4 linked regions of the Schizosaccharomyces pombe genome follow. Changing the gene in region 2 together with the main gene of any one other region gives a genetic interaction. Each region holds a gene or a part of one and is shown on either strand. Other genes may lie near its edges. The genes, in order: nup120, red5, mex67 and mlo3.

What was found.
Region 1: mutations in red5 (region 2) and nup120 impair growth when combined (synthetic growth defect), as found in Schizosaccharomyces pombe (one study listed by BioGRID).
Region 3: mutations in red5 (region 2) and mex67 impair growth when combined (synthetic growth defect), as found in Schizosaccharomyces pombe (one study listed by BioGRID).
Region 4: mutations in red5 (region 2) and mlo3 impair growth when combined (synthetic growth defect), as found in Schizosaccharomyces pombe (one study listed by BioGRID).

The regions. Positions count from the first base shown.
Region 1 is NC_003423.3:4,014,169-4,021,435, forward strand, and holds nup120 (nucleoporin, WD repeat Nup120), read right to left. Parts: upstream 4,683-7,267; 5' UTR 4,600-4,682; coding exon 1,189-4,599; 3' UTR 1,058-1,188; downstream 1-1,057. Other genes in the region: Sre1 cleavage-activating protein Scap Scp1, read right to left, coding at 1-607; Fe-sulfur protein Isa2, read left to right, coding at 6,141-6,586, 6,656-6,827; vma7 (V-type ATPase V1 subunit F), read right to left, coding at 7,034-7,260. UniProt on the Schizosaccharomyces pombe protein: Functions as a component of the nuclear pore complex (NPC).
Region 2 is NC_003423.3:1,048,364-1,054,115, reverse strand, and holds red5 (zinc finger CCCH domain-containing protein), read right to left. Parts: upstream 2,514-5,752; 5' UTR 2,037-2,513; coding exon 1,994-2,036; exon of another isoform or gene 1,920-1,993; intron 1,784-1,919; exon of another isoform or gene 1,778-1,783; coding exon 1,748-1,777; exon of another isoform or gene 1,703-1,747; coding exon 645-1,702; 3' UTR 501-644; downstream 1-500. Other genes in the region: Gtr1/RagA G protein Gtr1, read left to right, coding at 1-338; SPOM_SPBC337.11 (peptidase), read right to left, coding at 2,824-3,801; dre2 (anamorsin family protein), read left to right, coding at 4,686-5,552.
Region 3 is NC_003423.3:2,406,381-2,411,872, reverse strand, and holds mex67 (nucleoporin Mex67), read left to right. Parts: upstream 1-1,751; 5' UTR 1,752-1,778; coding exon 1,779-3,569; 3' UTR 3,570-3,721; downstream 3,722-5,492. Other genes in the region: SPOM_SPBC1921.04C (uncharacterized protein), read left to right, coding at 469-822; DNA repair protein, SUMO-related Rad60, read right to left, coding at 3,771-4,888, 4,939-5,041. UniProt on the Schizosaccharomyces pombe protein: Involved in the export of mRNA from the nucleus to the cytoplasm.
Region 4 is NC_003423.3:1,742,535-1,747,008, reverse strand, and holds mlo3 (RNA-binding protein Mlo3), read left to right. Parts: upstream 1-2,260; 5' UTR 2,261-2,296; coding exon 2,297-2,896; 3' UTR 2,897-3,041; downstream 3,042-4,474. Other genes in the region: cyclin Clg1, read left to right, coding at 1-968. UniProt on the Schizosaccharomyces pombe protein: Has a role in the mRNA export process. Interferes with mitotic chromosome segregation when overexpressed.

The sequences.
Region 1 (7,267 bases), 3.0 Mb from region 2:
TAAATTTCTTTAAAACAACATGAAAAGTATCGACTTGTTCAGGCTTTAAAAAGTAAGTAATCACAAAAGCACTAAGCGAGTCAAAACCTTCGGCTATTGTATCATTCCTAAGCTTGTTCACTTCACGCTCATTTTCAGGAAGCCCTTTAGTATATGAATATTGAGCTACAGGATCAACCTTACCATAATATTTTGGTATTGGAGAAATAGTTACACAGGATTTTTCATCTCTTATGCAAGGATACCCGTATTCCGCCAAATATTGATGGAAGCTTGTTTCCCAACGATACGCGTTTGAAAGATAGTCTTCGGAAAACACTGATGTGTTCGTTCCTAAAAGATAGAGTTGTTTCGTAATAACATTTGCTTCAGCATTGATGCTCTCGGCATACCAAGCCGACCATCTAGCTAATGATTGATCGTAAAGGGATTGCTGATACGCTACCAACGACGAATATATACCTGTGATTGATAAAAGAGTAAACACAAGAATGAAATACCAAGGATTATTGGCAATACAGTAGCTGTACTTGGCAAATAATGAAGGGTTAACTTGCCGAGCATACCCTCGTGAAATTCGGCCTTTTCCAAGAGTAAAAATCCTCATAACGATATTTTCAGTTCAATAACATTGGTAAACGTTCATTAATTAGATCTTTACAAGACCGATATACCCAATTCACTGAGAATCAGTTTTCGCAGGTCTTGGTGTTTTGTACATTCCTTCGGGACCCGACAAATTTAAATTCGGGCACACGGCGTGCAATTTCCGTACACTATTATTAATAGAGAATTATTTAATCTGAAACCAAAAGTTTCAAAAAAATGTTATAAAATAAGGAAATAAAAATTCAAATATATAATTATTGTTGGTTCCAACATTCTGCCGATACTAGCCGTATCTCAACAATATTTCCCAACGGACAACACTAATTAGCAAACTGCGGCAAGCTGCAGCAAAAAGGTCGGAATTATAATTCGTTAAAGATATGTAAATACCAATGCTATCGAAAGTATATTTATATTCAGAATTTAATTTTATAGAAAGAAGTTAGTTATTTATGGCTACCCATCGCCTCAATGAAACTAAAGATGATTTAATTACTAAAACTCTGCCAAGCATATTGCTTTTTTTCTGGATTTTTCTAAATGAGAAGGTTAAGCTGCGTAAATAATTCTTTGTTGCCTTTATAAATCGATATTCATGGCCGATGACATTTCAGCTGTAACTTGAACAGCGACATCCTTCAACTGTAAGTGATATTCTGCTACAATTGCATCTAGAGTAAGTAATTTTTGTGGAAGAAAGTTAGGGTCAGGTTCCTTGTCCACGGACATGTCTGTCACAAGAATCCATGTATCTTCTTTCGGAAGCAACTCCAGAGTGTTCAAAACAATCAAATAATGTTCTATTATAAAAGTTCTCTCCTTTTTTCCAATTAATTCTGTAGTAGAGATATACCGGCTCAGTTTTTCATAAATAATTGCTGCTGCGTCTCGATAGTTTTGATGTTTATACCGCCAACTAAACAAAATATTATACCAGCATGGTTGTGATTCAACGTTAATCATTTGAAAGGCCTTTCGCTCAAGCAAATTGTCGACGTCCTGTCTTAACGTTGGCATTGAATAATTTAGAAGCTGATTTATTTTACCTTGTTTCGTTAATTGATTTACAAAGTCTAGTAAACATGACTTTTTCAAAGGCGTAGTGGATAAAACCATCAATGCAACGTGAGCAGCGTCAAACTTTCCTGCTGCACAAGCGGTTTTTAAAGTCTCATGGGTAATTGCAATAGACAAATCTTCGTCGTCAGTCTCTTTCGAGGCATCTGCTAATAAAGAAAATTCTAATGCATCTATATATGCACTCTCCTCGAACAGCTTTTTTGATAGATGAAGGTAATAACACGATAATAGGTTCTGATGGTGGTATTTTTCAGCAATTTCTTGAAACTCCCGTAAAACTGCGAATTGAGAAGTATGTGAGTAAAGGACTAGAGAAGTAGTCTTGAAACATCGGACAGCCTTAACAGCTTCTTTCGATTTGAGATAAATAAGTGCTTTCAAGTAGACTGCAATTGGGTCAGAGTTAAGCCACCCTATTAATTGCATACATGCATTATATTGTTTGAATAGAAACAACTTTTCTACAAGTTCAGTGACCAGATCATTTTCCGTATCGTCCCTTATAAAGATTGCCGACAAAGACGATATCACGGTAGCATGTAAAGGTGAAATTTGGCTTTCTGAGAAACATTCGGAATAATTCAAAGCGGAAAAAAACTGAAGGGCTGTGTTAACACTTGCTAAAGCTTCCATAGTATTTAAATTACAGTTTGTTGAATCAACATCCTCCTCCTCAAATTTTTCTAGCAAAAGTGCAGAATTCTCTAAAAGAAAACTCACAAGACGCCAATCTTCTAGTAAAGAAAGAAATAATTTATCACATCCTGCAAATTTGGATTGTAACTCATAATCCTGCTGGCTAGTTATCAAAGAAAGTAGAAAAATAAATCCTTCAATAGAGACTTGAAACTTTTTCAAAATACTGTCCAAAACCCGTGCTACCGATGCACACAAAAATAAGGAAGGGGATTGAGCGGAATGGTTGTAAATATCGAAACTTCTTAAGCGTTGGATAAGAGAATCAATGTCGCGCATCGGGTTTTCAAGAGAAACTAGAGTATCAATTAAAGTACTGATATAATCTGGATCGACGTTGGGATATATGTGCTTGTCATAAAATACCCACAATGTATCAAATAAAGAATAAGATGGCAAATCCTGGACTAGTTCTCGTAATGAGTATCTAATTTCAGATAAAGTAGAAAATGACATACAGGAATGTAAACTCCTACCAAGATCCAGAATTTGATAACCTTCAATTAGAGAAGGATCATCTGTTTCAAGGGAACTAATTAATTTGGTCAACGGCTCTTCGTCAAAGGATTCAATGAGATAAGGATCCCTAATAAAAGCCACTTTATTTGCATAATTGATATATGTAACAGCGTTCGAAGGATCGAAGTTAATACTTAATATTTCATCTCCAAAATGATCCAGATATGCAACAAGTTTCGCAAACCTTTCCCATTCATTATATAATAGCCGCTTATATTCATAATAATCGTATCCAGTTAAATCTGAATTTGGCTCTATTTGGATCGTTGAAACTATAGACGACAAAACGGCATTTTTAAGTTCACTTATAGTAAGTGCGCCAAATTTATCCAGTTTATTTTTTGAAACTTGCGAGGAGCTGTTTTGAAAGCTTAAAAGAGCAACTTGTATAGACTCAATAGATGTATTATGTGCAAAAATGTGTTGTAGCCAAATCTCTGAGATATCCCCAGACGACATGTTTGTTGGAACGTCAAAAAAGGTTTTTTCTATGAGGGAAAAGCTATCCAAAGAGTGACTCCAAACGCATGAAAAACTCTCGTCCTGATCTAGACTAAGGTTGCATTTTTGGATAACGGTATTTAAGTTGCTTTTCCAAGCAATAATGAGCAAAAATTTAGATTGAGAGCCCTCTGACGATATCAGTTGAAAATCAGAAAGCATCCATGGTATGAACTCATCGTCTGGTAAAGAAGGAGGAATTATGCCCTTCTCGATGACAACATTTAATTTAAAAGAGTGGGCGTTTGCGTTAAGTTTGTAAATTGAAAAAGAGCCATGAGAATTATCTGGGTAATACAGAGCGATGAAAGAATTAGTGGTGTGATCTGAAGTTAAATAAGGAAAGGATTGTAGAGGAAGTATAGTCTGTGACAGTTCAATGGTTTCGACGCATTGATTAGTAGACAAATCCAAAACTTTTAACTTATAGTCAAGCGATAGCATCACAAGAACATTATAGGTAGACAAAAAAATCATTGAAATAATAGTATTAGGAGAGCGGTAATCTGCCTTAAATGCCTGAAGTGATAGATATTTTTTTAGGGAAAACAAATAACTAGAATCATCAATATGCTGTTCGTAGTGACTAGCGTCTTTTGGATTTAATATAATCTTTGTTAAACCTCCATTGAAAAAGCTTACACAAATTTCAGACGTGCTAATTGCGGCCATTAAATCGGGTTTTTGATTCAGAAAGGATATTGGTCGGTAACAAAGACACCAATCGTCGTCTAAGCGAGCGTCCGGTAATTGGAACCAAGTTTTAGATAATCTAATATAATACAAAACGCGAGCGTGAGTAATAGCATATATAATGGTCGTGTCGGAATGCTCACTGAACGAGAAAGCTACACCGTCCTTCATTACGTTGGATGGAAAATGAATTTTCACATTAAATTTTGATAAAGGCTCCTTCTTAGAATTTAATGAAACATCAAAGATAGTGAGTGTTCTGTTTTGGAATATACTCCATCGTAAAGTTTGTGAACCTTTGCTTTTATTTGAGGTATAAACACCTGCATCATATGCTACACATTCCTTTTTAAAAAGTTTTTCATTATCATCAGCTGTTTCTATAGCTTCAGAATCGTCTTCCGAGTCGTTTTCGAGAGCTGGAACCCACAACGCCAAAGTTCCTTCCAGACAAAAAGATTGTAAGTCTATCGGAACTACCGCATGCTTTAATTCATTCATATTTTGATTTTATTTTTTACTGGTAGCGGTAATACCAGTAGAAATACCAAACAAATAGCTAACAATAGGGGGCAGTTCTGGTTGAGTATCGTAGACAACGACCTACACGAGTTAGCGTAAGACAGGCCAGTCCTACAACGAATTTATGAGAAACGCGTAAATACGAGTATATTTGTAATTCTTTAGCTTTTTAGGGTAGAGGGAGATGGAATGTAAAACTGAATTTTCTTCTTGAAGATTAAGTTCCTTAATAAAATAGAATCATTTGATTGTGGATGAAGAAAGCTAAACAATTTGATAGTTTTTATTAATCGAGCAATTCCTTTGTATTCATAATAATAAAAAAGGAATCAAATATTCATTTAAAACTCAAGAGCTTAAATGGATTCTCTATTTTATTTGTGAAATTACATACAACAGTAAAAGATCTTCAAGATATCAGAAGCCTTTCTTAGATTATTGTTAGTTTTTTTTATTATTTTTTGTATACCTGTAACTTTTTAGCTGTTGTTTTAAGAGATTAAATCTATTTAAATTAACAGTACTCATCTTTAGGGTCTTAATTTACAGCCTTTCAATCTTTTTTAATAAAATAGTTTTCTAATTTTCTAGTTTTGTTTATTTTTAAATTTTGCAAATTCTTAGTAAATAAAACATGTAATATTTTCAACCATACGTTAAATTGTAAATTACATTTTAATAAATATTAATTACGTGCAAGGGTGAATTATTGTTCATTGGCATGCAATTTATAATTTATTTTTTTTATTGCAGATACAACCAATTCTAAGTCTAATAGCCAAGATCTCTTATACCTGATTCAATATTACAATTGCGGTGATATGTGCTTGTACGAACACCCGCAACTTTATAGTAATTAAGCGGTAGTACATACACTGGTATCACGATAAAGAATTAGCTAAAGTAGAAGATTGTAGCAATGGCATCAATTGTGATAAAGACATTTTCTGGATGTGATCCACCGGTCTATGCTAGAATTAAAGGATCGACAATAAATATCCAGAAGAAGAATTAACCAAATGGGTTGAAATTATCTCTAATAGCTAAAAATCTATTCATTTAAAACTGAAAGAGAATTAAAGGAGTAGGAGTACCAAAAGGTAAAAATAATCCAAAGATATTAATTTTGACTATAAATCATCACAAAATTTAGTAGCATACAACATAAGTAAAAAAGAACATTAAATAATTCTAGATATATTTGATAAATTCCCCTTATTCTCTACTAGCTATGGGTGTGAGAGTTTTGTAAGTTCGAATTCAATCTATCCGATATAAATCTCTTAGAGATTGGGTGTTAACTAATAGGTAAATCCCTGAATTTGACTTTAGTCTATGACACACTCGTCAAGTTATGACTATTTCATTTATGTACTTAACTTCTCTATCTCATAAACATAAGCACCAATTTGGAATATACTGAATTAACGAAACAGAGCGTAGGCAATTTGACTTCTATTACGTTACTGTATGTTTACAAGTTAGAAAGTCCTAACTTGTGGCTATAATACTTTGCAGTGATGCTTATGAAATCGCGAGTAAACTTATTGTTTAAAGGACCATTTTTCTTTCGAGAACGTTGTTTTCAAACACTCTTAAATCCTGTGATCGCAATTCGACAGCTATCGCATGGATCGCTTAGAAATTCTCGATCATGTAGAATTGATGCGAAATCGAATACATTAACGAAAGAAATATTTCCCAAAATAAATAATGAATTCAAAATCAAAAATCGATTTTATAGCTCAAAGCTTGCGAACGACCAATTCACGCTTCAAGAGCAATGTGACGAGAAGGGAATCCCTTTTATTTTATACGTGAAAGATTCAGCGAAAAAACAGTTAGAAAAAATTGCAGAAAGGAAACCAGAAGAAAACTCTGTTTTGCGCGTCACTGTCGATGGTGGTGGATGCCATGGATATCAAGTATCTTTTCGCATGGACAACAAAATTGGAAATGCTGACACGTAAGTGATGTGGTTAAGAAGACTATAAGTTTTAATTAAGTATTTCCTGGTTATTGACTAAATATCTAGGGTATTTGTGCGTGGAAAAGCCAGGGTTGTTGCTGACAACATTTCATTACCTTTGATAAGTGGCTCTGAAATTGAGTATACAAATGAACTTATTGGTTCCTCTTTTCAACTTTTAAACAATCCACGTGCCAAGACTTCTTGTGGTTGTAATGTCAGTTTTGATGTTGAATGAGATTTATACTTAAAATAATACATTTCTCTTATAATCACTTTTCTATTTATCAAATATAGTTTAACAAAAACTCTGCTTACAATTTTTTGCTAGTATGCCAGTAAGTAAACCAAAAGATACAAATATAAAAGTGTCATCAGTCAAATCGATCGAGTTGTTGACTAATTGAAATTATTGCTCAAAAAATATAATTAAATATTAATAGTCTATTCTCCAATGATCTTTCTAACACGACGGAGGATACTGTCCTTTTCAGGATCATAAGGATCGTCTTTGCTAGGAATTTCCAATACAGCAGGGAATGCCTGCACATGGTTTTCAATACGATCACGTATTCTTTCAGCGGCAAACTGGTTAATCAATACAATCGCAATATCCTTCCTTTTCGTAGTATAATCATCAAAAGCTTCAGCAATCTGCTCATCTGTAGTCTCTACATA
Region 2 (5,752 bases):
AGGTAATATTATTTGAAAGAACAACATTTTTGGTTATTTCTTCTTATTCTTCTGAGTCCAATCCTGCCACTGATGCTCACAGGTTCGAAAAAATTAGCAATATTGTTAAGCAATTTAAACTCAGTTGTAGCAAAATGCAAGCTCAATTTACTACTTTTGAGCTTCGTGGTGGTAATTTCTCTGCATTCATTGTTCCATATACTGAGGACACATACATATTGGTGGTCATTGCTGATCCAGAAATCGAATCAGCAGTAACCCTTATGAACATTCAAAGTGCTCGACGATTTATAGAAGCTTCAAAGAGCGCTTCGGACGGTATTCAACTGCAACCTTAATTTTCCGTTTGATAGATCCATCAATCTTGTTCTTTTTTCTTTGATAATCGTAAAAAATGTGGATCTAATGTATTTTACTCTTGTTGCTGTAATTACCTAGCCTCTTAGTTTTAGTCTTTAAAAAATAATATTCTTTATCAACTAGTTGAAATCTTTTTCTATTTTCTTTCTAAATCTTATGATATTTTTTAAAAATTTATTGTATTCAATTAATAGAAAATTATAACTCATTATCATCAAAAGTTTAGACATTGCGTAACTACACGATAATTTAATTCTACAAGATCAAACTGCTAAACGAATTATCTAAACGGATATAAAATCCAAGTTGCTTTCTAAGGAATTACTTCCAATTTCCGATCCAGAGTCTTCTGGATTTATAGAACCAGCAGTCTTCGATATTGGAGCTTCTGTTTGTTCTGGTACATCAGCGGAAACAGCACCATGATAGAGAGAGCATTGTGGATTATTACACGAACCAAACATAGCATAATCGGTACACTGAAGAATATGTTGATTTTTGCAAGACGTCCCTAACTCACAGAAACCGTACTTGGCAAATTCAAAACATATAGGGGCATTTTCAGAGTAATGAATGTGCACATATCGACAATTTGGGTTATTGCATTTTCCTAATAGAAAATACCGGCATGCAGGAATTCGTCTGGGATCTAATTCATGTGACAAATTACAATCTTCTGCTTTATTACATCGACCATTCAAAAATTTCGGACATATCGTTTTGCGGGTGGGCTCATGCACGAATCTGCATGCTGCTCCCTTCCCACAAATTCCATTAGCATTATAATAACGGCAATAAACAGCTGAAGGTGAATTTCCAACCTCCTTGAGAAACCTCTTCTTTTTAAGAAGATAAGACTTATTATTCCAATATAAATATTTTGGACATTGTCCCTTAGCACTAACAAATTCCAACCACTTGGTATCAGATACACCGGTAATATACTGCAGTCCGTCAATAGTTACTAATTGTTTAGTACCATCGGATAATCTTTGCTGGATTTTATTTTCGGCTAAAGTTTTGTATTCTTTCTCAAGCTTGGCTCTGTAGCTCTCCAAATTAGCTTTTCTCGCTTGCAAATCATGTTCAAGAATATTTTTTTTAATCAGTTGCATATGTCTGTTTTTCCGTGATACATAGTCAGATGTGGATTGTTTTTCAGGTTCCTTATTGGCATCGTCTGCATTCGATGATGTTGACGGTATCACATATGGAGGGCTAGCAGCTGTCGATTTCGAGCGATTGGATTTATTGAGGATAAAAGAATAGTTCCTAGAAACAGAATAGGGATACGAACGAGTATTCTTATTTGCTTTAGCGGCATCTAAAACCTGGGTAGGTTCTGCTAAAATCATGAGTCAAAGTTCCTCATAAATGGGCATCTTACCTTTTTCATTTTTATATTGATTGATAGCACCTAAAGGTTAGTTATATTATTACTGAGCGTTTCATAAATAAAGAAACATAAAGATATTTTTTTGCATAAAATCTGTCTCCTTGAAAATCCTAATTATTCATTGGTTTCAAAAACCAAAAAGCTCATTAGTTAAACCAATCCAACTTCAAAGTCGACCAAATTTATTCTGTATAACAGACAATCAAAAGACGTTAATACAATTTAATCAAAACGTACCAGCTAATGAAGCAATATTTTCCAGCAATTGTTGCTCGTTCATTGTGAATGCCGCCTAGAACTAATAAATAAATATAACGAACGGATGTTTTTTTTTGTAAAATAAACCAACAGCTTTAATGTCTTTTATTGAACTTGAATCGTCCAAGTATTTCCTGTTTTAAACCACCACTTGATATATTATGCAAAAGCTCTTGTTTGCTCAATGTTTTAAAATGAGTGGTTTTCCACTTTAATGGTCTTTCGTTCTATAAGTGAATCTTTTAAAAAAAAGTCTTTGAGAACCTTTCCTTAAACAAAACTGTTTAAGTTAAATGCCCAAATAATTGAACGACAACGATTAACCAAGGTCTTTACTTTTTTTAACGACAGGCAAGAGCTTATATGTTTGACAATGACCTTTTTGAAAACGTCGTTACAAAAACAAAAAAACTATGAAAAAGTCCTTGAAATAAATTCTTACAGTAATTAGATGTGGTAAGGTATTTCTAAGTCGACAGATTAGAGTAGCGTAGTCGGTGGCACCAACAATGTCGGAGTAGCATCAATGTAATTACCGACGCTTTATAACGATATTTTAAAAAAAACTATCTTAAATTATCAGTATTAAAACAATATTGCTTTAATTATAATGAAATCCTTTTTACTTAATTTAAATAATCCTTCTTTAAAGCGTAGCTCAAAATTGTTTTTTTCATTAACGAATAGATACCTCTTTATAATAATAATAATAATAAACGATATGAAAGATCAAAGCAAATATTTATAGTTCTTTTAAAATTTACTGATTATACAGAAAAAACAATTTGGTAAGTCTGTATTTCGGACGCTTAATTTGTGCTCATAGTAATCACAAACTTTGTAGAACATTCATTCATAAGTTTTCTATATGAATTTATACATTCATCAGTAAGAGATGTTTCAGCAATTTTCTTGTTTAATACCTTATATTTCCCTGCTTCAAACTTGGCGACCATATTCTTTAATAGTGAGTTTGATTCCACTAACGAAAGTAAGAGAGAATTGCACCCAATAATCTTCAGATTTTTGCGATATATTTGTTTCATGTCATACGAAAATTCTATACTCCCTTGCTTAGGTGCGGAAATATAAGACAACCTTCCCCCTATTCCCAATTGATTGAGAGCCGATTTCATCAACAAAGGATCGCCCACCGTATCGATTACCACATCAACTTTCTCAACCAATTCGTGGACCCTTTTTAATTCCGGATCCACCACTGTATTGATATCGGTTGAGCCGCTCCTAGACACTGTGATTACCTTACATCCCCAATCCTCTGCTATTTGACAAACAGCCGACCCGACAGCACCTAAGGCTCCAACCACTAGTACTATATCGCTGCCTTTGGTTTCTCCTCTGCTTAAAGCCAAATAAGCGGTTGTAAAAGGGACACCGACTGATGCTGCCTCAGTAAACGACAAATTGCTTGGCATACGAACAGCTGCTTTTTCCGGTATTATGCAGTATTCAGCATGAGTACCGTCTTTAGTGAATGATAGTTCGCTACCGCTCGTTCCAAACACTCGAGTTCCTACTAAATGAGATGCGCCACTAATTACAGTACCAGCATAATCTCGCCCAACGATTCGAGGATAAACAGTATACGGGAAACCCCCTGTTGCGTTCATTAGATCACTGGGGTTGATGGCAGCAGCTTCAATTTTTACAAGCAACTCTCCATTCTTTGGTTGGGGAATAGGAACACTCTGAATTTCAATACCCAAACAACCTGGCTTCGGTTTTTTTAACATTCGTAACGCCTTCATCATTTGATAGTATTGCATTTAATAAATCCTTCTTTTTGAAGTAAAAAACCCTCTAGTCTTACATAAAGTTATCATTATTATCTTATACAGTCGATATGTAATTTGTATATGACACCCACGGCAAAATACGAATATCAAATTTCTCGAAAAAACACAGGGCTAAAAATATTTGACTATTAAATGTAAATTACCAAAAAAATGGTTCTCAAAGCTGGAAATAGTTGCGTGCAGCCAAAAGTACAACACAAGTTTTCACTTGACCCGACATTTCAGTCGATTAGCCGGTGATTCCGTTGACTTGTTCGATCAGTATGAACAAAGTAGAAATCAATGACTTACCGAAATGCGCAGTACTTCATAAGCATAAATAACGATATATAAGAAAACCACAATATTGTTTTAGCTATATGCCTTACAGTGCCACATGATTGGATTCTATTCATTTTAAGACATGCTGACGGATTACCAATCAACAGGTTAAATTTACAGCGTCGCCACTTGTGGTAAATAGAATTTAACAAGAACAAAATACTAATCATTCCTTTTTTTTATTGTTTGAGTATTATTTCTCTATAATTGATCATTTCATAACGTTAAGGCGTGGAAATTTTCATATTATATCTACAGATAACTTTTTTGTTTATCCGTTGATTAAAAGAAAAATTTTACCACTTTCAGACCGGTAAAAGGAAGACAGTTTTTGACTTTTTTCTAATTGTCTGTACATACGTTACAACGATCTAGATTTCGTTTTTATTTTTATTATTGATAGTGTTTTTTGTATTCGTTGGTGGGTTTACTTACCAATTGCTAAGGGTTTCATTTCGCTGAAACGTGTAATAATATAATAATTTTAATTACTTTTTTTGCTTTTGTTTAAGCTGTTAATATCTTCTCTCAATATGTCATCTTCTGTCCTTGTTTTGACGTCTCCCGGCTTTGCTTCAAAAGAGGAGTCTTTGAAAAAAGTTTTTGACCTTATCGATAATGGTGCTTCTAGAGAGTTGCAAATGATAGATCGCGTCCAATCTCAACTTGTTAATTTACCCATCAATCGATATGATTCAGTTATTGCTGCCATTGATGATGGTGCATGGTCTTCAACTCTAGGACCTATACTTTCACAAGCCTTTGCATCAGTACATCCTGGAGGAACACTTCGTGTTTATTCTACTGCCGATGAAGCAGACGAGTCATTTGAAATGACAGCTTTGCTATCTGGATGGCTTATTGAATCAAAGAGTCCTTGGATTTTATCTCGTCCCAATCAGGTGGAAGCAGTTCCCATTAAATTATCAAACAAAAATGGTCAATCAGCGAGCAAAAACAAAATTCTTGATTTCTTAAAATCTGACAAGGAAAACCTTATTAGTGGTGATGATGATCAAGAACTCATCGATGAAGATGAGTTGTTAGACGAAAGTGCCCACGATAATGTTTTAAAAGTGCCCGAGTGCAAACCTGAACCTGGAAAGAAAAAGCGTGCTTGCAAGAACTGTACCTGTGGATTACGTGAAATGGAAGAACACGAGTCTTCCAAGACATCCGCACAGTTAGAAGCTGTAAAACTTACAGACACCACCGAAGTTGATTTCACCGAGAAGCTCAAGAGTAAAAATGCCGTCTCAAGTTGCGGAAATTGCTATCTTGGCGACGCTTTTCGTTGTAGTGGATGCCCGTATATAGGAATGCCTGCCTTCAATCCCGGTGACACAGTTATATTGGCTGAAAATCGTGACAAGATGTCCTGGATGGCTGATGACATTTAATTTATGGTTATCTTGTAATTGAGATGTTCCGGTTTATGAATGACCGTACTGCAGTTCTATTGCCTAATTGAAACTAAAGTTAAATACTTTTTTTTGTTAACATTTGTTTTTAATTCCGATATTTGCTATGATTTTGTAAGTTCTGGTTAAGTTTGAACTAACAATGTTGCAAATTGAAGTTGAAGTGGTTATATTACTAT
Region 3 (5,492 bases), 1.4 Mb from region 2:
AGAAACACCAACGACTCCTACGATTATAGGATCCTTCCGCACCATTTTAGTGCCCCAGTGTGGGAACTTAATAGATACAACAGAGATAACGATAAGGTGAACAAATATGAAATGCATCTAAACGTTAAACGACATACAGCATGTGCATTGTTAATACCCGTGGAGAAGACAGAGCAAAGAACACTAGGATTTTTTCTTTTATCCACGGCACAATCAACTATGATATTTCACATTACAGCCATAATAGTGACAAAATAGAAATGAACGTAGCTTGTTAAACCCATTGAGTATCCTGTCCGACAAACAAGCTGTCCCTATAACACTAAAAAATGGAAGAAATTTCGATAATTCAAAATTAAGTAAACAGCAGGTTTTTAAAACCCACGAATACAACCAAAATTTACACAAGACAGACAAATACAACCAACACATAACATGAATAATATTAAAATGAATTAAAAAACATTAATGAGTCATACAAAAAATTTAAAACTTATACTACAAAGCAAAAAGCTATCTGAACTACCGACCCACAGAAAAAGTATCAATATGACTATTCCTGTAAGGGCACTAAGATGTCCAATATGGCTCTGGCCCACGTATGACGCTCAAACCATTCCATGGAAAAAGAAAAAGAAAAGTGAGCAACACGAATTGTGGGCGTCGGTATATAACCGCACGATAGGGAAACTTCAACTTAACAAACTCACGTTTATAGACCTTTGTGACTGTTTTTTAAACCCTACCCTTTTAAGTAATTTGTTTGCTGCATTTTCAGGTTATTATCCTATTGAGGTTACGATAATGTCAAGGAAAGTATAAAACAAGTGCTGTTCAAAATAAATAAATGAAAATAAAATAACACTTTTTTAATCGATTTCTGTAGAAATTTAGTCCTTTCATTTTTTAAGTTGACCCTTCATTGTTATACAACAATTAATTATTCTATACGTATATATTATATATATTGTCTACATCAATAACTGAGCAGAATTGAGCATTATACTGGATAGAAAATAAAAAAAATAAGCAGGCATTTTTTCACAAGTAAGTACATATTTTTATGATATGAATTGATAAAGGTGCAGGCGATCATATTGTTAGTTAATAATAAAAAATTGTAAATAGTAATTTTGCTTCTCCATTAAAATGAATACATAAATTTAGTAGATAATCGATTTAAACAAAAAATAGATATCCAAGCCAAAAAAAAAATAAAAAAAACCAAAAAATGTTTATTTTTTTTGGCTCATGAAACCCAGATTTATCAAAAACTTACGTTGCTTAGTGCTCAATCTCTTTAAACATGCAATAAAACAAGAATTAGCGGGACACATATATTGATATATTGCTTAAGGAATTAGTGTTCGGAAGTCTTACTGACTAAACTGTTCTTTACTTCAAAATTTACTCCTGAATTTTCATGTTAATGGAGGTCGAATTTTAGGTGGTCGATTGAGTTATATCAATAGTGATTTTACAAAAAAACAGTAAACGATTTTATATTAGCCTCATATAAATTTTTTTGAATTTCAATAAAATAAACTAAAACAAAAAATGTATTTCCACAAATTCCATCGATACAAGCATAGCAAAAGACGAATAACGCATTTAACAGTTTCTCGTTATATCACAAATAGTCTAACTGTTTAACGCAGTTTTGCGCGTACACATCTCTACTCCTTATACTTGTCCTATTACTATTGAAGTTAAAAATGTTGAATTAAATTCCACTTACTCTCTTTCTCTTCACACTTACTACTCAACATAATTGCAAAATGTTGCGTAGAAAGCGGGAGCGTCGTAATGCTGTTAAAGAGAATGAAATGGTAATTGATACACCATTGGAGAAACGCCGTACACCAGGCAAACCTCGTGCCACGCGTGAACCCCCGATATCCGTAGTTATTACTGGTCATTCCAAGGGTTCTGAGGACGACTTAATAAGCTTTGTTTGGAGAAAAGTCAAGGTTCGTCTAATGAACATTTCATATTCTCCGGCTTCGGTCACTGCCGTAGTTAAAAGCCAAGACTTTAGTCGTTTGAACGGGTTAAATGGTGCGGCTTTTGCTGGTGATCATTTGGCTATACGAAGGGTCGATGGAGCTTCTAACGTTACTCAAGATTATAGAAAAGCAAAGACAAAACGATCATTTCGTTCTGTTTCAGCTCCTTCATTATCTGCATTAGCAACACAAGCCCAGAGAAATGTTTCAAAAACGTTACCACAATCCACAAATGAGACCATTGAAAAGTTACGCCAGTTTTTGCAAACCCGTTATCAACCTGCTACTAAATTCTTGGACCTCGGAAATTTGCAACAAGATCCTCTTTTAAAGCAAATGGGGATTTTAGCAGAGGCTTCTACTAAGAGTAAGATGTTTCCAGCGTTAATGAAGGTTGCTTCTTTAAACTTTCCAGACGTTATATCAGTTAGTTTGTCGGATAACAACTTACAATCGGTGACTGCCGTAACCACTTTAGCACAAACATGGCCTAAACTTTTAAACCTTAGTCTTGCTAATAACCGGATTACTTCTTTATCTGACTTGGATCCATGGTCCCCCAAAACAAAGCTTCCCGAACTCCAAGAGCTTGTTCTTGTCGGAAACCCGATTGTCACAACCTTTGCTAATCGTGCTATGGATTATCAACGGGAAATGGTTTCGCGTTTTCCGAAGCTTCGTCTTTTAGATGGTAACAGCATAAATTCAGAGATTATCGCCTCTCAATCTACCGTCCCTTTTCCGGTTTATCAATCTTTCTTTGATAAGGTTGAAACCGAACAAATAGTCAATTCTTTTTTGGCTGCGTTCTTTAAAGGTTGGGATGAGAATAGAAGTGCACTTGTCAATCAATTATACAGTCCAAATGCTACCTTCTCAATCTCTCTGAACGCTTCAAACGTTAGAACGAACTTTTCTCAGAAAACAGACACTAAAAAATGGGGAGCTTACAAAATGAAAAGCAGAAATCTACTTTACTCACAATCACAGAAGGAGTCGAAATCTCGTTTATTTAACGGGCACGAAGAAATAAGCAACGCTGTAAAATCCTTACCTGCTACGGCTCACGATTTATCAGACCGTTCGCAATGGGTTTTTGATGGTTGGAACCTGGTTCTGCCTTCGGTTGGTGCAGCCATCAAAATTGTTGTCCATGGGCAATTTGAGGAACCACAAAACAAACGACTTCTACGAAGTTTTGATCGAACTTTGCTGATTTTGCCGGGAGGTTCCACAGGCATATTGATTATAAATGATTTATTAGTCATTCGTTCATTTGCTGGATCGCTCGGGTGGCTACCTGGTCAAAGCAGTGTACGAACAAGCAATAATGCCATGTCTGCGTCTGCTTCAAAGCCTAGTGATATTGTACAGCCAAGACCGGAACAAGCAATGTTAGACACTAGACAACAAATTGTATTAAAAATTAAGGCGGAGACAGGTTTAAATGATTACTATGCTCACATGTGTTGTGAGCAAAATAATTGGGATTACAACAGCGCTCTAGCATCTTTTTTGGAATTAAAGTCGCGAAATGTTATACCAGCCGAAGCATTTTCATGAACTTCTAGTGACGTGTATAGATAGATATGGTTAAAAAATTACAAACTGGGGAAATGGAAACTTTTATTTAATAATGGTACATATTGATGAAATGAATAAGTTAGATTTATACATAGTCGTTCGTGATCATTCTATAAAAGTATTATGGCGGTAATTAAATATAAGAAAGAACAATGGTAAAAGTAAGAGCCAAATATCCTTTTAATCCAAAACAACACTAACTTGATCTTCATCTTCAAGTTCCGTGCTTTGCACTTGATCGTTGGGATCTAACCATTCACCTTCAAATTCTAATCTAATGCGTTCATGAAAACTAATCTTTACTTCAGTACAATATCTCTTAATCAAATCTTTAACAGTGAAATCGACGGGTATTGAGAGACGAAGATCCTCACTCTTACTCGAACGCAAAAGCAACGTTATAAGTTTACACGTTTGAGCAGTTGAATCTTCAGTTACCGAGGATAACTTTTCCACTTCCAATTCTTTTATTCTTTTGAGTGATATAAAATCCGAGTGACAGTAGGCATGCACAACCAAACGGGTATCGACTTTAAGCATACCAGCGCCCTTTGGGGTTCCATAATCCCATAATCTTTGATTTTGAAATACAAGAACAACGTTATCTACTTTTTTTCTTTCAGAGTACGCTATTCTGACACGACGAAACTGTTGGTTCGACTTAACTTTGAAAAATAACGGTGCCTCCCAGTCCCGGGGAAGAGAGATATTGCTGTTTGGAATTCTCTGTCCAATTACGGCTAACTGGAGAACGACGGAAATAACTGGTTCATTTGTTGAGAATTCCGATTTGGAGTGATACAGCGTTGAGTGGTCACTTTTTGAATGCTTTAAAAGGGGCACATCAGCCGAAGTATTGTCATCGTCTTCTTCAATTTCTCTCTTATGCGTGTGAATTTGTACATCCATATCACTTGATGATTTTTCAAACTCCTGAACTTGCCGATCAATTTCCTCTAACCTACGAGCAAAGTCATCGTCCAGCAGTGATGAAGTCGTAGAAAGCGCAGCCTCACTATTAATGCTGTTGTTTCGCAAGTTAGCGGCCGCCCTAGTATTATAAACTGGTGAAACCGGTTGTGTTACACAGGAGATAGCACTTTTGGGTGAGTGCCTACCTTCATTCAAACACGCATTAGGAGTAGTGTCTGAAACGTCTTGGTTGCCTTCATCAGCATCTAAAATAGTGGATTGACGAGATAAAGGTTCGGCACTTTTGTTTTCATTATGAGTTATATTTTTCTGTGCATTTATGTGTTCTAATGCTTGTTTATTGGTATCAAGTTCACTTTCCTCTTCTAGAATGTTGTAAGCAAGCTGACACTTTGCAATCGGAATTAAAACTTACCAGAATCTGAGGAAGAGGCTATTAATTGCTTGGCATAGTTTAATGGAGGCTTTTTAATAGGCTTTGAGAAGAATGCTAAGTCATCTTCATCTAGGTTGTCCATTTGGCGAGTTTTAGCAATTACGGTGGTTCCACAAAGCTTCTTATGGATTTAACGAGAATTTGTAGCGACACACCTTAAACTAGGTAATTTTTAGCTTAGTTTTGTTTTCACTCAAGTTTATTACAAATCGATTTTGAAAGTTATATAATAATTTTATAATTCAATTGAAAAAGTTCAATGAACATTCCTCCAACTCATCTTCGAAATGAAGTTTGTTTACTTACGCAAAACCCGATCTTGTCCACTTAGCAAACAGATTTAAGTCTATAGAATTTCATTTTTTAGGTTAAGTAATTTGAAAACTCTTTGCTTCTTGTACTGAGACATTAGGTTTGATGAATTTCAATGACATTGGCTCACCTTACGACGGCTACATTGCGTCCGTCCATTACTGCCATTCATAATTTGTTCTTCATTCGCTAAATAAATTTTATTTAGTTCAGATAAAACC
Region 4 (4,474 bases), 690 kb from region 2:
ATAATCCTAACCAAGATCAATTTGGCAATTCGGTGAATGTATCAGCTGCATGTAACAACGTTTCCGCCCCTTTGATTGCTAACAATTGTGCTCCTTCCTTTTATCAGTCTCGACATCCCGTAGCAGATGTGCCTGTAACCAACAATACCGCCACTACTACCTCCGAGACTGATAATACAATCCCAGGTAATCTTAACATGCCTTCGGTTGCTAACGTTCAACAACGTATTTCTCCTGTCTGCAAAACTAACATGGAGGATCAGGAAGAAACCGTTTATACCGGAGGTGTTGCTGCTAAACTGGATTACAAGATGGATCAAATGGTGGAATACTTGTCTATCATGACTTGTAAGTTGTATGCTCGTTTCCTGAATAATGCTCAAATGCATTCTCTTGCTAACTCTTTACCTGGTCTTGTGTTTTCTTTCCGTAAGGTCGTTACACAAATTTTGACGTCTACGCGTTTACCTCGTGCCTCTTGCTTGCTTGCCTTGTCATACCTTTCCGATCGTCTTGACGCCGCATCTCAAACGACTGATTTTGTAAACCAGTGGACTAAGGAGTCGTTATTCTTCCAAATATGTGCTCTTTTAACGACCGCCTTGATTTTGGCTAATAAGTTTTTGGATGACAATACGTTTACCAATCAATCCTGGTCGCAAGTTACTGGTTTCCGTACTGCCTTGTTGAACAGCTTTGAACAAGACTGGCTAGCTAGCATGTCCTGGAATCTTAGTCCCGGTCCTCGTGGTCAAAAGGCATGGGAGTGGTGGAGTGCTTCTTATTCTTTGTTTACTTCCTCAAACGCTACATACTCTGGTGAACAAAAAACTTATAGCCCTACTACGTTGAGCACCAACGCACCACCATCGCCCTCTTCTGGACGTTCTTGCTCTAATTGCAACTACTATTATCCCTATACACCCGTGGGATATTATCCAGTGTACAATCGCTATGCAATGACTTAGTGATCGTGCTTACTTTCTGCGGGTGTTGTTGCTTGACGGGGTTTGTTTTTCGTTTCCTTGCGCTTATAAACACTTTACGTGTTTTTGTTATTCTTGTAACTTTTTTCTCTTTTCATATTGTATGACGGGAACTTTTGTTTAACCCGTCATATTGTATTCTCTAATCATCTCCGTGATGAATTCGGCTCTCTTGAAATTAATTTGCCGTTTGATCTTGCTTTTCTACTTTCTTATTTTTTCAAATTTTAACAGAGAAAAAAAAAATTTCCCAAAAAAAATTGAAAAGTAGTATACCGAAAAAAAGGAACCAACTTCTTATCAGTATCTGTTTTATTTTTGTCGTTGGACTTTTATTTTGCTTTCTCGTGTGGCTTTGTTATCTATTGGAATATCTTTTGATGCAATTCTGATTTGTTAATACTGCTTGATGTATATACATCCGCTACTACTATAGGGATCGCGGATTTCCTTTTTAAAGTTCGCCTTCAAAAATTAGTAGTCTACTTATACAACTAGCTTCATCAAGAAATACATTGTGAATAGATGAAAAGGCCCATGGATGCTTTGAGTTTATTTTTCTGTTTCATTAGCAAAGATTTTACTTCGGGCATCGTTTTTGTCCTTATTTTGTTTATTTTTTCTCCTTTTGATACTTAAATGAGAAACCTTTGCTTGCTGTTTTCTAAGGATTAAGCATAAAATTTTTTATTGCGATTTTCCAACTCCCAAACTGTTTGTTATGATTACCTAGTTTTATTGCGCATTCGTCGTATGTCTACTAGTGAGATAACGGATTTATATAATCTCTTATACTTGATTCTGTTGCACTGAATCGTGCTTTTTAATTCTGAATTATGTTGTCTTTGAATGTTTTCCGTGTTTCTAAAAATTGCATAATCGTTATTCTTCTGTCTAGATTCTGCATTGTTAAGCTACCAAGAAGCGGCGAAGCGTTTGCATCTATCTAATCGTGTAGGCATCATATCAAACGTTTGGTATTATGGTTACAAAAATTGCTTTCCAAAAAAACAATAAATTCTGTTTTATCAATAATCTCTCAACTTTTATAAGTGAACGCGTCCATCCTAGTTCTGATGCCAATAAAGTGTAAAGTAAGTTTAATTTGTAATATTATTTTTTTGTCAAATTTCTGAAGACTTTAAAGTAAGCGTTCAACATCGCTAAATATATTTAGGAATCTACAAAATAATAATTTTAAATATCGACACCTTGTGTACTACCCTTACCTAGATCCTGATCAGTTGTAAACCCCACCCGCCACTTTACCACCTAACAACAACTAACTACCCAACAGTAACTCGATAAAAATGTCTATGGAATTAGATCAGTCCTTGGACGCCATAATTGCTTCAAAGCCTAAAGGAGGTATTAGAAAGCGTCGTGCGCGCTCTAACAAGCCAAAGCCAACAAAGAACGCGAAACCCGCAGTGAACACTGCCTCTGCCCTTAAATCCGTCATTTCTGAGGAATCTAAAATTATTGTTTCTAACTTACCTACTGACGTTACCGAGGCTCAAGTTAAGGAGCTTTTTGTGAAATCCATAGGACCTTGCAAACGCGTTTCCTTGGCTTACGGTCCCAACGGTCGTTCGAAAGGTATTGCAACTATCATTTTTTCTCGTCCTGGTGATGCCACTCGAGCTTATGAACAGTATGAGGGTCGTTTGGTTGATGGCACTAGAAAAATGAAGGTTGAGATAATCCTTGATCCTAGTCGTCAATTGAATTCTTTGGCTGCACGTGTAAGTCCTGCCAGCAACGCTAGCGCCACTGCTAGCAAGAATGGCGCCAAATCTTCCAAGCGGAAGACTACACGCCGCCGTAGAACTCCTAATCGTCCTAAAAAATCCGCCGAAGAGCTCGACAAGGAGATGGATGATTATTTTGGATCAAATGAGAAGGAGTAACTTTAATAATTTGAAGATTCTACTATATATACATATATTTTGAAGATGTCAAATGCTTCTTGGTATTAATAACGACCTATACAACATACTCCCTCAGTTAAATAATATTGGCAATATAATGCTGTTTCGAATGGCAGTTCTTGAAGTTGTTTTTGTGTTTTGGGTCTTTCGTAATGGATTTGGAGAAGTGAGCTGAACCAGTTCTTGTTAGTATATATGGTGTGTATTGGGTCATATTGCCATTATGCCATTATTTCAAAGAATTTCATTAAATTTTTTATTTATATCTCTTTTTTGATAGACATATATGTTTCATTGACATCGAACGAATTTGGTTACTTATTTCTTTTTCGGTGGTTAACGTTGGGTTGGAGGTTTTGACTTTTGCTAACTTTTGACATATCTGTTGATTTGTAGTATGCAAGCTTAAACGCTACCAAGAAGCTAAGCTTTGAGTCGAGTTCATTATTAGCATATCTGTTCACCTGTTATGTTTGCAACTTTATCAGCTCTTGTGCAGAAATCCTTTATGGTTGATAAGCGCTCCCTTCTTGTTTAATACAAAAGCAAAACCTATGTAGACAGTGGTTAAAAGAGGTGGATAATGGTAGCTTCGGCTACTGTTACTTTATTTAATCTAAGTTACTGTACAAGGCAGCTGTTTTGATCATCATGTTGCTAAACTATACTGGGTTGAGCTTACCGACAGGGTTTATTATTGCATGTTTGCTGAAAGTCAAAGCTTCCATACCCCAACTTGACTGTGTTTATTATGTTCATGATGGTTTTTGGTTCACGTCACACTTATTCCAAGTCTTGTTTTACTATATGTGGCACGGCTTGTTTGGATGAGGAATTTCTATTCGTAAAATCATCGCGTTCGATGGCTCTATTTCATCTTTGTCAAATTGTACATGACAGAACTGGCTTCATTCCTTCCTTTGTATGTAAACCACATTTATAGAACTTTTCCACGATTGCATTTTAAACTCGCTGATTGATGAATTACGCGCAATGCATTCTTTTGAAACTTTTAAACCCTAGTCACTTCCATTCCCGTTTTTTTTGCTTCCGACGTTTATTATTATTTGTAAATTATTGTTATGGTTGAATTGCCGACCGTATCTCGAAATTTGTTTTGGTAAACATTGCTTGGTTTTATGTTCGAACCATTGTCACATCAAACAATTTAAATTGAAGTCCCACACATATATTTTTGGCACTTATAATTTTGATTTTTTTGAAAGATCTGTACGATCCGTCGTGATTGTGTTACAAACCAAAAATCGCTTTCAGAATGCGCATTTGCGGGTTGCTAATTTTAGTGCGCGATTCTTGCCGTCCTCTGAAACCGATTGAAACATTGAAATTGTTAAAACAGTACTTTACGTTCGTACCTTAAACCAGTAGTATCTGAACGGTGGTTAACGACATTTGTATTGCAGATAAAGAGAAAGATTATTATTCACTTGCTACACATGGTTTATACGAAAGTTTTAGATTTTAATATCTGATTACAATTTCTCGTCGATATTTAGACTCCTTGTGGAACTCGTATATGTACGTAAGTGTTATTTA